3 linked regions of the Callithrix jacchus genome follow. The protein of the gene in region 3 interacts with the protein of the main gene of each other region in a biochemical or structural test. Links are inferred from orthologs where the notes say so. Each region holds a gene or a part of one and is shown on either strand. Other genes may lie near its edges.

Evidence for each region.
Region 1: the proteins of UBE2J2 (region 3) and MARCHF6 form a complex in vitro, tested with the Homo sapiens proteins (2 studies listed by BioGRID, with this or other methods). The link is inferred for Callithrix jacchus from reciprocal best matches to the Homo sapiens genes UBE2J2 and MARCHF6.
Region 2: of the proteins of UBE2J2 (region 3) and UBA1, one has a biochemical effect on the other in vitro, tested with the Homo sapiens proteins (2 studies listed by BioGRID). The link is inferred for Callithrix jacchus from reciprocal best matches to the Homo sapiens genes UBE2J2 and UBA1.

The regions. Positions count from the first base shown.
Region 1 is NC_133503.1:195,250,720-195,254,363, forward strand, and holds part of MARCHF6 (E3 ubiquitin-protein ligase MARCHF6), read right to left. Parts: intron 3,637-3,644; coding exon 3,556-3,636; intron 3,325-3,555; coding exon 3,256-3,324; intron 3,176-3,255; coding exon 3,101-3,175; intron 2,303-3,100; coding exon 2,168-2,302; intron 1-2,167. UniProt on the Homo sapiens protein: Endoplasmic reticulum membrane-associated E3 ubiquitin ligase that plays a critical role in mitigating endoplasmic reticulum stress, the regulation of cholesterol and lipid homeostasis, and ferroptosis.
Region 2 is NC_133524.1:48,168,972-48,172,615, reverse strand, and holds part of UBA1 (ubiquitin-like modifier-activating enzyme 1), read right to left. Parts: intron 1,828-3,644; coding exon 1,763-1,827; intron 1,526-1,762; coding exon 1,330-1,525; intron 613-1,329; coding exon 538-612; intron 420-537; coding exon 230-419; intron 1-229. UniProt on the Homo sapiens protein: Catalyzes the first step in ubiquitin conjugation to mark cellular proteins for degradation through the ubiquitin-proteasome system.
Region 3 is NC_133508.1:39,463,337-39,467,648, reverse strand, and holds the start of UBE2J2 (ubiquitin-conjugating enzyme E2 J2), read left to right. Parts: upstream 1-1,472; 5' UTR 1,473-1,742; intron 1,743-3,757; 5' UTR 3,758-3,876; coding exon 3,877-3,891; intron 3,892-4,312. UniProt on the Homo sapiens protein: Catalyzes the covalent attachment of ubiquitin to other proteins. Seems to function in the selective degradation of misfolded membrane proteins from the endoplasmic reticulum (ERAD).

The sequences.
Region 1 (3,644 bases), on a different chromosome or scaffold from region 3:
AACAGTGCCCAATGTGTCAAGAAATATAGACCTCTGAGATGAAAAATAAATGACTACAACCATTACTATAGTAAAAGGGTTATGCTGCAATTTACAAACGTCCTAAATAGAAGATCTGATTTCAGTCTTACACTTCCACAGAGGGATTAATTTTTAAAAACCCTACAACCTCCGAATCTTCATTTTACTATCTATACCTTCTCCCTGTGAATGAAAAGGTCCTCCTTTACTCCATGTGGGTACTAGTCTGGGTACTAGTCCTACATGGTCTAAGCTCACTGAACTATCGTCTGTAACACATCTAATGTGCCCAAACTTCTCCATTTTTTGTTTTTTTAGAGACAGGGTCTCGCTATGTTGCCCAGACTGGAGTGCAGTGGTTATTCACAGTTGCGATCTCACTACTGATCGGCACGGGAGTTTTGTCCTGCTCCATTTCACCCCTCCTTGGTGTTCTCCATCTTCTAAACAAGGGAGTTACAATACATTATTTCTAAGGTTCTGCCTAAGTTCCAAATTTTATATCAACAAAGACCATCACATTGATAAAATGAAAAAAAACATTATAAAACATTTTATTCACTTAATGAAGTAATTTGGAGTTCACATATTTAAGAAACATTTTTAAGAAACATGTTTCTGCAGTTGCTTTAGTTCTCAATCATTTCTTTCTTTCTTTTTTTAAATTGACAGGGTCTCGCTATGTTGCCCAGGTGGGAGTGCAGTGGCTATTCACAGGTGTGATCAGCACGGGAGTTTTGACCTGCTCCGTTTCTGACCTGGGCCGGTTCACCCCTCCTTAGGCAACCTGGTGGTCCCCGGCTCCTGGGAGGGCACCATATTGATGCCGAACTTAGTGTGGACACCCAGTCGGCATAATGCACTACAGCCCAGAACTCCTGGACCCAAGCAATCCTCCCACCTTGGCCTCCTGAATGGCTGGGACTACAGGTACGTGTCACAGCACTCATTTGTTTCAAAGAAAGTGAAAGCTTCAGTTACTAAGAGAATTTACTGAACATACTGTATGATTCAGGAGAATGCTTTGGCCCCTGAACCCTCTTCCTCTTCCTCAAATCTTGCAAAGAGCAAAGCACACAAGGAGCAGCATTGAGCCTTTATGCTTTTGCGTTCCATTCCCACTAGAATTGTCAACCTTCTCCTCCACACCCTGTACATCTTCATCAACATTGAGGAATTGTGCCTTTGTTTCTCACTGATATCCCAGAAGACAGTATAGTGTCTGGCACACAGTGAACATTCAGTATTTGGGGAATGACTGAGCTTGAGATATACACTAATCAAATATTCATCTGCTTTCATCATCTTCAAATCAGTAAGAACCAGATTCCAAAAATAGGATTAATAAAGGTATCAGGCCAGGTGCAGTGACTCACACCTGTAATCCCAGCACTTTGGGTGGCCGAGGTGGGCGGATCATTTGAGGTCAGCAGTTCAAGACCAGCCTGGCCACATGGTGAAACCCTGTCTCTACTAAAAATACAAAAATTAGCTGGGCATGGTGGCGGGTGCCTGTAGTTCCAGCTACTTGGGAGGCTGAGGCAGGAGAATCACTTGAACTCAGAAGGCGGGGGTTGCAGTAAGCTGAGATCATGGCACTGCATTCCAGCCTGGACAAAAGAGGAAGACTCAGTATCAAAAATAAATTAATTAGTTAAATAAATAAAGGTACCCATCAGGCCAGTGAATTGGAATCATAAAAAATCCTCTATAATTCTATACTTAAGGTACCTAAATCAAAACCATTTTAAATGTTCGATTCTGCAAAGCCATATCCTTTCGGTTACTTCCAGCATTACATTTCCTTGAAGTCTGAGACACATTCACATCATACAGAATTATAAGAGTCTGTATTAGAGGATGGCTAAAATATATATGAAGTAGAATAAAATGAGTACTCTTACTTTTTTCCTCAGTTGAATCATTTTTACAACTCAGAAAGATTAAAACTTGCCGATTATGAAGACAACTGAAACCGTTTAAAGCAATCAAGTCAAAGTCCCCTATAAGTTATTCCCTTTCAGAATAAAATACTAGAGAATATAATTTAGTTAGGAAATCATCATAGCCTTTGAGACATGACTGGCAGTAAAAGCAAAAGTCCTTTTGATAAATGTATGGCATCAGCACTTCCCTGTAGACTTACCTCTCTCAGTAATAGAATGAAGGAGGCAAAGTAGAAGACATACACCATTCCCACTAGCCAATGCAGAAACATGGTAGTACCTGGAGCAGACTGAAAGCTCAGTTCTCGATCTTTCAGAGTGGCATCAAACATTTCCTGAGCCAAGAGAGGACAGGTAAGAAATGTGTGCCCCCTACATTTGCAAAGTTAACATTTCCATCTTCTAGGAAATAAATAATCAATATGTATGCGAGGAATGATTTCTAGAAATGCAATTTATTTATGTCATTTCATGGTGTCCTAGACCTATATACAAGATTGGCTACTGCCTCAGATATAAAGAATGATAACCAATTGGTAAAAGCTTTATTAATGTTGATTCTATTAAAGAGTTATTTTTGATGAAGGTAAAACCTTCTTTTCTTGGTTACAGGTCTGCATTTTTAAGTTTTAGAAGTAAGGTATGGGAGGGTAAATGTTATCTCAGAACCAAAGGCAGCTTTTCTACACATAAAATATTTTTGAAAAAATCAAAAACTGATTATCTCTAACAGCAATTAAAGAGTAATCAAGACTGAGCATCTTAGTTAAACCAAATGATTAGAGTGGAATTTATTACTACAAAGATAGTTTCCTTATCAAATTATTCTCTATGTATATAATATCTTAGCATTATCTATAAAAATTTGAGAGTGCAAACTGGGTAATAAAATTCTCCACTAGTTATTAGAAAGATTCCAGCCAAAATATCATGACATCAAAAATTTGCAAAAAGCCTCAAAAAACTCAGGTACTCTAGAAAAATTAACATTAAGATCCTATACTAATACACTTGCCAAAAGAATAAGCAAATTATCAAATATTTACTTTCCTTTAAAAAGAACCTACACTGAAGACTTCCTTTTCTGAAGCTTTGAAATTATGCTATTATACAGTAATGAATACTCAACTTACCAAGGAACAGATATCCAGCCACCAACCACAAATGAGAGGGAAGACTCCAATTTCTACCACCACTAACAAAGAGACCTTAAGTGAAAATAAAGGTCATCAGTATCACCCAAGTGTAGGAGAAATCATTTCCAATCTTAAGTTATAACAGGAATTACCTTAACAACAATATAGCAGACTCCTAGTAAGCGACGAGACCTATGAAATTTCACAAGAGTTGCCAAGCCCTACAGCATCTAGTTAAGGAAAAATTCAGTAAAGGTACAATGAAACAGGCAACTACTTAGTATTTTTTGACAGAATTAATTTATTACACATTTTGTCTACACTGACCCTTACTGCAAATACCTACAACTTTCACTAAGAGAACAAGCAGAGAGACAAGTTTCACCATTAATGAAGAGTTCTTTGGTATGAATGAGATTACTGAACACCCAAGTTGGTTCATTAAAGGATACATGACAAATTATCAGTGTTATTGCTAGAAGTATATACCCAACTATGGTGGTGATTAGGCCTTCAAAATGAGATGCTTGGACCTGTAAAT
Region 2 (3,644 bases), on a different chromosome or scaffold from region 3:
ATAAAACAGCAAGTTCTCCTGAGTGCAGAGAGTGGGAAGGAAGGAGGGAAATAATCTGCCCCAACCGACCCTCTTCATGTTAAAGGGAGGCTCAAACGAAGGTATGGGTAAACCTCAGGCCTGGGGTCCCAGAGCAGAGCAGAGCCAGGGGTACAGGACTGGTGGGGACGCTGGACTAGGCAGGGGACATGTGGAGGTGACTCCTGGCCAACTGGCCAAACACCCTCACCAACAGAGGCATTGGCGCTCTGCAGCTCCTGGTCAGAAACGTGGATCTTGACGCCAGATTTGGGGGTGAATTCAGGGACCTGCACAGACTGCAGGAGTGTGGCCACAGCAGCTCGGTCCTGAGAGCCTGTCAGCCCATAGGTCTGGGCAAACAGGTTGGCAGCAGCCATCACATAGTCCAGATGCAGGGGCTAGGAGAAGGCAGGGCAGGAAAAGGTGAGCACATAGTCCTTGAGTGGGGAACCGCCACCTCCTTCCCACCTACTCACCCTCCACCTGACCCCAGGAGACCCCAGAGAGGAGACTTACGTTGTTGACATCAAAGGTGAGCGGGTGTGGACAGCGTTTGGGCCCAGACCAGAACGGGGCTCCCGAGCTGGTGAGCTATAAGGGATGAAGAGATTTTTGAGAACAGGACCTGACAGTGAAGGCCTCTCTGACAACCTTGACGCTTCACGTAGGCCCCAGAGGTGCCCCTAACTCACTATCTTGAGTTGGGTACTCGATGGGGGCTGGAGTCAACCACAAATGACCCCAACTGTAGGGTCCCACAAGGTTGAACCAGAGATCAGGCTGAGAGAACAATTACCAATCCCTGGGAAGGCATTTTGTGCTAGATAGCCTATCATTTAACAAATTCTCATGGATTACAGGGCATTGTACTAACTTCATATTAATAAATACCAGTTAATCCTCCCCAAACCCCCCATGAGGTAGATTACTATTATTTCTACTTCACAGATGAGGAAACTGAGGTACAGAGAGAAGTTACGTGATTTGCCTAAGTTCGAGTCTGGATTTGAACCCACATTGATTCCTGTGCTCTTAACCCCAGAATTTCTCCCCCACACTCCCTACAGCCCTGACGGGGAATTAGGTATGACTCAGTCCATACCACAGTCAAGGGAAACAGCGACCAAGCCTCTTGCTCAAAGGAACTAGGGTGGGAAAAAAGCAGGTCAGGCTCAATCACTCTTCTCAGATCCCCATGCCTCAGGGCACCTGCTACAGCTGGACTGAGGACCCACACTGAGAGCCCACAGCAGGCTCCCATTTCAGGGAAACACATTCTGCCAAATGCACCCAACAAATGGGCATTACCTGGTCAGGAGGGAAGTTGTGCAGCAGCTGCCGGATGTTGTTTGAGTACTGGGTGTGCCAGTGGTGGCAGGCCCAGGTCACGCAGTCAGCCCAGGTCTGTGGTCGCTGCAGCACCAGGCTGCGCTGCACAGCCTCCAGCACCTCCAAGGGCTGGGTGCCTGCCAGCCGCAGTGTTCGCTCCACAAACTTGGGGTCTCTATCAGGAATTGAAGAGAGAGGACAGGATTATACCTCAGCCTCAGGAATGGGCTTCAGAGCAATCTTACTTTCTCCGTGGAAAACTAGTCCCGACCCCTAACAGCATGAGGCCCAAGCAGCCACTCATTCATGTGAAAAGTATACCTGGTGCCAAGTGTGTTACTGTGATGAGGAGAGCAGGCGGGATGCCCTGGCTGGTGGAGGGACAGGGCAAGAGGGCACTCAAGTTACTCACGTGAGGTACTGGTTGACGTTTTCTGCTGGCTGCTTGAAGAGGCCTTCAAACTCATCCCGAGCCCACTGCAGACACAGCAAACGGATTACATGTGGCCACAGTTGACAAAATGGGTTTCCGCAGACATTAGAAAGATCATTAGTGAATAAAGCAAGGAGGCGGCACACAGCTGTTCTGCAAGGCTCCCCAGCCTTCCCCACTCCCCCACCTTAATCGAAAAACCAGGCCGGGCGCAGTGGCTCACGCCTGCAATCCTAGCACTTTAGGAAGCTAAGGCGGTGGTTCATCTGAGGTCATGAATTCGAGACCAGCCTGACCAACATGGTGAAACCCTGCCTCTACTAAAAATACAAAACTTAGCTGGGTATGATGGCAGACGCCTGTAATCTCAGCTACTCGGGAGGCTGATGCAGGAGAATTGCTTGAACCTGGGAGGCGGAGGTTGCAGTGAGCTGAGATCACACTACTGCACTCTAGCCTGGGCAACAGAGCAAAACTCCGTCTCAAAAGAAAAAGGCCAGGCCTGGTGGCTCAGGCCTGTAATCCCAGCACTTTGGGAGGCTGAGGTGGGCAGATCATTTGAGGTCAGGAGTCCAAGACCAGCCTGGCCAACATGGTGAAACCCTGTTTCTACTAAAAATACAAAAATTAGCCAGCCGTGGTGGCACATTGCCTGTAATCCCAGCTACTTGGGAGGCTGAGGCAGAATTGCTTGAACCCAAGGGGTGGAATTTGCAGTGAGACTGTGCTACTGCACTCCACCCTGGGCAACAAAGCGAGACTCCACCTCAAAAAAAAAAAAGAAAAAGAAAAACCAATGAACTTTATCTGCGCAGCGGTTACAATAGTGTTATGCACATGTGGAAAACTGTTTTGTTTGAGACAAAGTCTCGTTCTGTCACCCAAGCTGGAATGCAGCAGCACAATCATGGCTCACAGTAGCCTTGACCTCCCAGGCTTAAACAATCCTCCCACCTCAGCCTCCTGAGTAGCTGGGACCACAGGCACATGCCACCACACCTGGCTAATTTTTAAAAATTTATTGTAGAGACAGGGCCGTGCTATATTGCCCAGACTGGTCTTGAACTCCTGGCCTCAAGCAATCCTCACATCTTGGTCTCCTGAATGCTGAGATTAGAGGTGTGAGCCACGCCTAAAAATATATTAAGATCTGTGTACCTCATTCTAGATATGTTATGCCTTCATAAAAAAGAAAAACTTCAGTTAAGTATATCTTACCATAATTTTTAAAAAAGAAAAAGAAAAAACTCAGACCAAACCACAAATGATCCCTATCCAGGCCCCGAGGACTCGGCAGAAAACAAGACAGAGGCCGGACACAGCGGCTCACACATGTAATCCCAGCACTTTTTGAAGCTGAGGCAGGTGGATCACTTGAGCCCAGGAGTTTGCAACCTGTCTGGTCAATATAACAGGAACACACACACACACTTCCCAGGAGTTCAAGGTTGCAGTGAGCTATGAATTGTGCCAACGCACTCTAACCTGAGTGACAGAGTGAGATCCTGTCTCCAAAAATAAAATAGCAAACAAGACAGAGCTTCTGGCCTCTGAGAATTCCTAAGACAGTTTGCAGTCATTAGTGTGGTGGTTTGGAGGGTACAAATGTTAGAAATTCAGGTTTAGATTTCAGCTGTGCGCATATTACCTAGTCTTGTGACTTCAGGCACGCAGGGTAACATCTTTACCTCCATGCCTCATCTCTATAACAGATGTTACAACAGTAATACCTACTTCATGGGGTTGCTAGGAAGAAATGTGCAAATACGTATATATTTAAAGCTTGTTTAAAACAGTGCCAGGCACACAGTAAATGCCAAGTGGTTCACAATAGCCCTGTCAGGTAGATACTACTGTCATT
Region 3 (4,312 bases):
TGCCTCTCAGGGAGGCGGTGGGCCGTGTGCCCGCCCCCAGCGTCCCATCCCAGCGCCCCACCACCTCCGCTCCCTCCCACTGCGTCTGGGGTCAGAGAGACAGGTGGAGAGGAGGCAGTGCCTAGTGCTTTCTGAAGTCTGGCCAGGGGGAGGCCAGGGGCGACCTGGGCTCGGTCAGGCACCTGAGGGGAGGGTGCTGGGGTGAGGGAGACCCGGGGCTGGGACGCGGGCGTGGGTTGCAAAGCGATCCCACGCGTGACATTCTCGAGTCCCTGAACGAGAGAGCTCTGAACTCCCTGGCGCCCAACCCTCCGCCCAGCCAGGCCTCCAGGGCTCCGGGACGCTTCACGCCCGGTCCGCGCAGCGCCTCCCCTGGGGCCGGCGAGAGCGGAGGACAAGGCGGGAGCCCGGAGCCGGGAGGCGGGAGGGTAGGGGTCCTTTCTCGGCCGGGGTCGCCTTCAGCCGGGCCTGCCGCCCTGGGCCGGGGCATTTAGAGAGGGGACGGCGCGGCCTCCTTATCCCGGACTCTCAGCACCCGCTCACGGCGCCGGGAGCCGCCCGTCAGTGCGCACGCGCCGACCCTTCCTTCCCCGGCGGGCGGCGACAGAGAGTCGTGGGCGCGGTCCGCCAGGCTGCCTAGAGCGGCCGCCCTGCCTCCGTGCCGCGAACCAGAAACGGAAGCGAAGCTGGCCCCGCCCCGCGAGCGGCCATTTTGGAGGCTGAGGCGGTGGAGGCGCAGCGGCGGGTTCGGTGGGCCCAGTCCCGGCGCGGTGCGGCTGTTTCGGGCGCGGGCCCCGCTCGTCCGCACCCTGCTCCGGCCTCGACCACGGCGAGCCTGAGCGCGGCGGCGGCCCACGCGCGGCGACAGGGAGAGGTGAGCGCGCTCTCAGGCCTGCGCCGGGTCCTCGGGCCCGCTCTCTACCCCGCCGGAGCCGGCCACGGCGGCGACCCGGGGCTGCGGGAGACCCTGCGCGACGCCCCTCAGTTCGCGCCGCCTCCCGCGGGGTCCGGTCCCGAGCTCTCCTGCCCGGAACCCGAGGTCGGTTACGGCGGGCGCCCGGAGCTCCGGGTCAGGGGCAGGTCGCGGACTCGGCCCCTCGGCCGCGACTCCCGCGAAAGCGAAAGGGCCCCTTGTCCGTTGGGACACTTGCCGCGGCCGCCAGGACGGGCAGCCTTGGTCCTGGTTGGTAAATGGATCCCGGGAGTCTGTCGGGGGAGGGCTGCCCCCGAACGCTGAAACCCCGAGACAACGAGCGTGCCCGGGACGGCGCTCAGGGCCGGTGCGGCTCCGCGCCGGCGGGCGGGGGAGAGACCCGGGCCTAGGACCCGGCCCTGAGCTGCGCGTCCTCCCCGCCTCTGGCCGGGTGTCACCTCCTGGCCTCCTTTTCAGTGCCTGCCACTTAGCGCGTGTGTATTTCACTCGAGGCCGGTTGCCAGCCTCTTGCCGGACCCAAAGAGGAAGCGGCCGAAAGGTCGGGTCTCTGCTCGGTGGAAGGACGGCGAGGAGCGCACGCAAGGCTCGGCTGGGCCTGGCCGGTGGCCCTGCGCCCTGCTCCAGGGGAACCTGCACGTGTAATCTGGCTTCCGGATAGAGGGTCGTGAGGACCTCGCTTAATCCAAAGTCCAGCCCCTGAGCCTAGGGCATGGTTGGGTCTGGGTGCCTGGAATCGCAGTCCGTCACTTGCGTGGCCTGGCACCCCTGACTTCCACTCTAGGCGGGGGCGTGCCTGAGTGACGGGCAGGTGAGCAGGGCAGGTGCGTGCATGAATGAGTGACAGGTGAATGTTCCGCCTCTACCGGCCGGGGCTCCCATCCTGTCTCCGGAGCAGTCCTGGTGGAGCAGAGACTTCCGTGGATTCCTGGGCCTAGGTGTGCCGCTCGCCCGGCCAATGGGTCAGGCCAACGTTTTCTGCCACATCCCCTAAGCAGGAAAGAGCTGTCCAGAGAAAGAGGGACAGGGTGACGCTGGGCAGCCACCACCTCATAGTGCCTGACACGGTTGCTCTCTGTGATTCACCTGCTTTAATGCTGTTTCCGTGTGTTAACTTTTTTTTCTGTGCCTTTTTGTTTTAAAATCATCAGCTCTTTCAGCAGGATGATACTATACACACGATGTCTCTTGTCTGTGAGACGTGTCTGAAGGGAACCTGAGACACATATGCTTCAAACTTGTTCTCAGAGTTTGCTTCCTTTGCGGATTTTTTTTTTTTTTTTTTTTTTTGAGGCAGGATCTTGCTCTCTTGCCCAGGCTGGAGTGCAGTGGTGTGATCTTAGCTCCCTGCAACCTCTGTCTCCTGAGTTCAAGTGATTCTCCCCCCTCAGCCTCCCGAGTAGCTGGAATTACAGGCACCTGCCACCACACTTGGCTAATTTTTTGTGTTTTTAGTAGAGATAGGGTTTCACCATGTTAGCCAGGCTGGTCTCCAACTCCTGACCTCAGGTGATCTGACCACCTTGGCCTCCCAAAGTGCCGGGATTACAGTCTTGAGCCACCATTCCCGGCCCCTTTGTGGATTTTTATTTTCCTTGTCCTTCCTGCTGTCATTTTGGGATGATAAGAATTGAGGGAAATAGCCCTCTGGTTTCCCGAGGCACAGAGAACGCTGTTCTGTGTGAAGCTTAGGAAGGGTGGCTGGGAAAACAGCAGTTGAATCATGAACATGATTTTAAAAGCCTCTCAAAGTAAGTATGGGAGGGAAACTTTCTTGTGGCTGACCAGATGGAACCTGTTTTATTTTTGCACAGCTCTCCATAAACTTTCCTGCAGCCTGGCCACTTAGCTAAGTCCAGACGCAGCTGCAATAGAAATGTCCAGTGCATCATTTTGTATATGGCGGAGTGTTAGCTTCAGGGTGAGCTTTTGAAAGGACAGCCCGTTTGGCGGTGCTGCTTGGGGTCATGGCTGTGTCCACCACCAGGTGTTGGCCCAAGGGGAGCTCCCTGGCCCATTGGCTTCTTGAGCCACGAGCTGGGGATGCTGCTGTGTGGGAGCACTTCCTTCCCGGGTACGACCGTAGCCCTCCTCCTGGGGAGACACTCCTTAGGCAGAGGAGCCTGCCCTTGCCTGTACTGGGGCCCAAAAGGGCCCTGCGTGGTGTATGGGGTCACATGGAGGCCAAGCGGGAGGCATTTGGCAGGGAAATCAGGGAGGCCTATGAAGGCAGTGGTTCCAGCTAGGCCCGGAAGGGCCTAGGAGAGTTTACAGTACAGTCTGGGCTGGGAAACAGCTGTGAGAAGGAGTGAGTGTGTCAGTCAGAGGTTTGGAAGGGGGCCCCGACTGTGCTGGGTCTTGGGATTTAGGAATGAGGAGGGCTGTATGTATGGGCTACTCTGTCAGGGGCTTGGCAGGCAGGAGGAGGTGTTGATGTTTATTTGCTTGGCTGTGGGGTATCATGAGGGTGGCTGGGCGAGTGGGTGATCTGAACAGTGTGTTGACTTAGGGGGTACAAGAGGGCCTTGAAATGGGGAGAAACTAGAAGCTCAGACCTTCTGAACCCACGGTGTTGGGCAGGGGTGGGAGGCTGCTGGAGTGTTGATGGGAGAAGTGATGACATTCTGTGTTTGGACAATGGGAGTGGGAAGGACATGGTGAACAAGGCTTACAAGGGTCAGGGACCCCAGGACAAGAAGCAGAGGTGGGTGGTGCTTCTTAGGCTATGCATTTGGGAGCATGCTGTGGGTGCCCTGGCTGTGCCCTGCTCTCTGGGCCTTGGGTGTGTGGGGTGAGCAGCCAAGCCCTGGCTGTTACCATCCTCAGGTTAGGAGCAGACACTAAACAGCCTGGTGGTGATGGTTCTCTGAGGAGGAATAAACCAGGCAAAGAGGCCAAGAGTCTGGAGATCTCTTGTGGGCGGAGACTGAAGGGAGCCGGCGTATATGGCTGTTCTGCAGGTATGCAAGTTGGTTCTCCCACTGTTGTAAAGATGTATCTGAGACTCGGTGAGACTCGGTCTTCTTTTTTTTTTTTTTTTTTTTTGAGATAGAGTCTTGCTGTGTTGCCCAGGCTGGAGTGCAGTGGCGTGGTCTCAGCTCACTGCAACCTCTGCCTCCCATGTTCAAGTGATTCTCCTGCCCTAGCCTCCTGAGTAGCTGAGATTTCAGGCATGTGTCACCACACCTGACTAATTTTTAGTAGAGACAGGGTTTCACCATGTTGAGCAGGCTGCCTTGGCTTCTCAAAGTGCTCGGATTAGAGGCATGAGCCACCGTGCCAGGCTGAGATTCGGTAATTTATAAAGAAAGGGGGTTTAATAGACTCTCAGTTCTGTGTGGCTGGGGAGGCCTCAGGAAACTGAAAATCATGGCAGAAGGG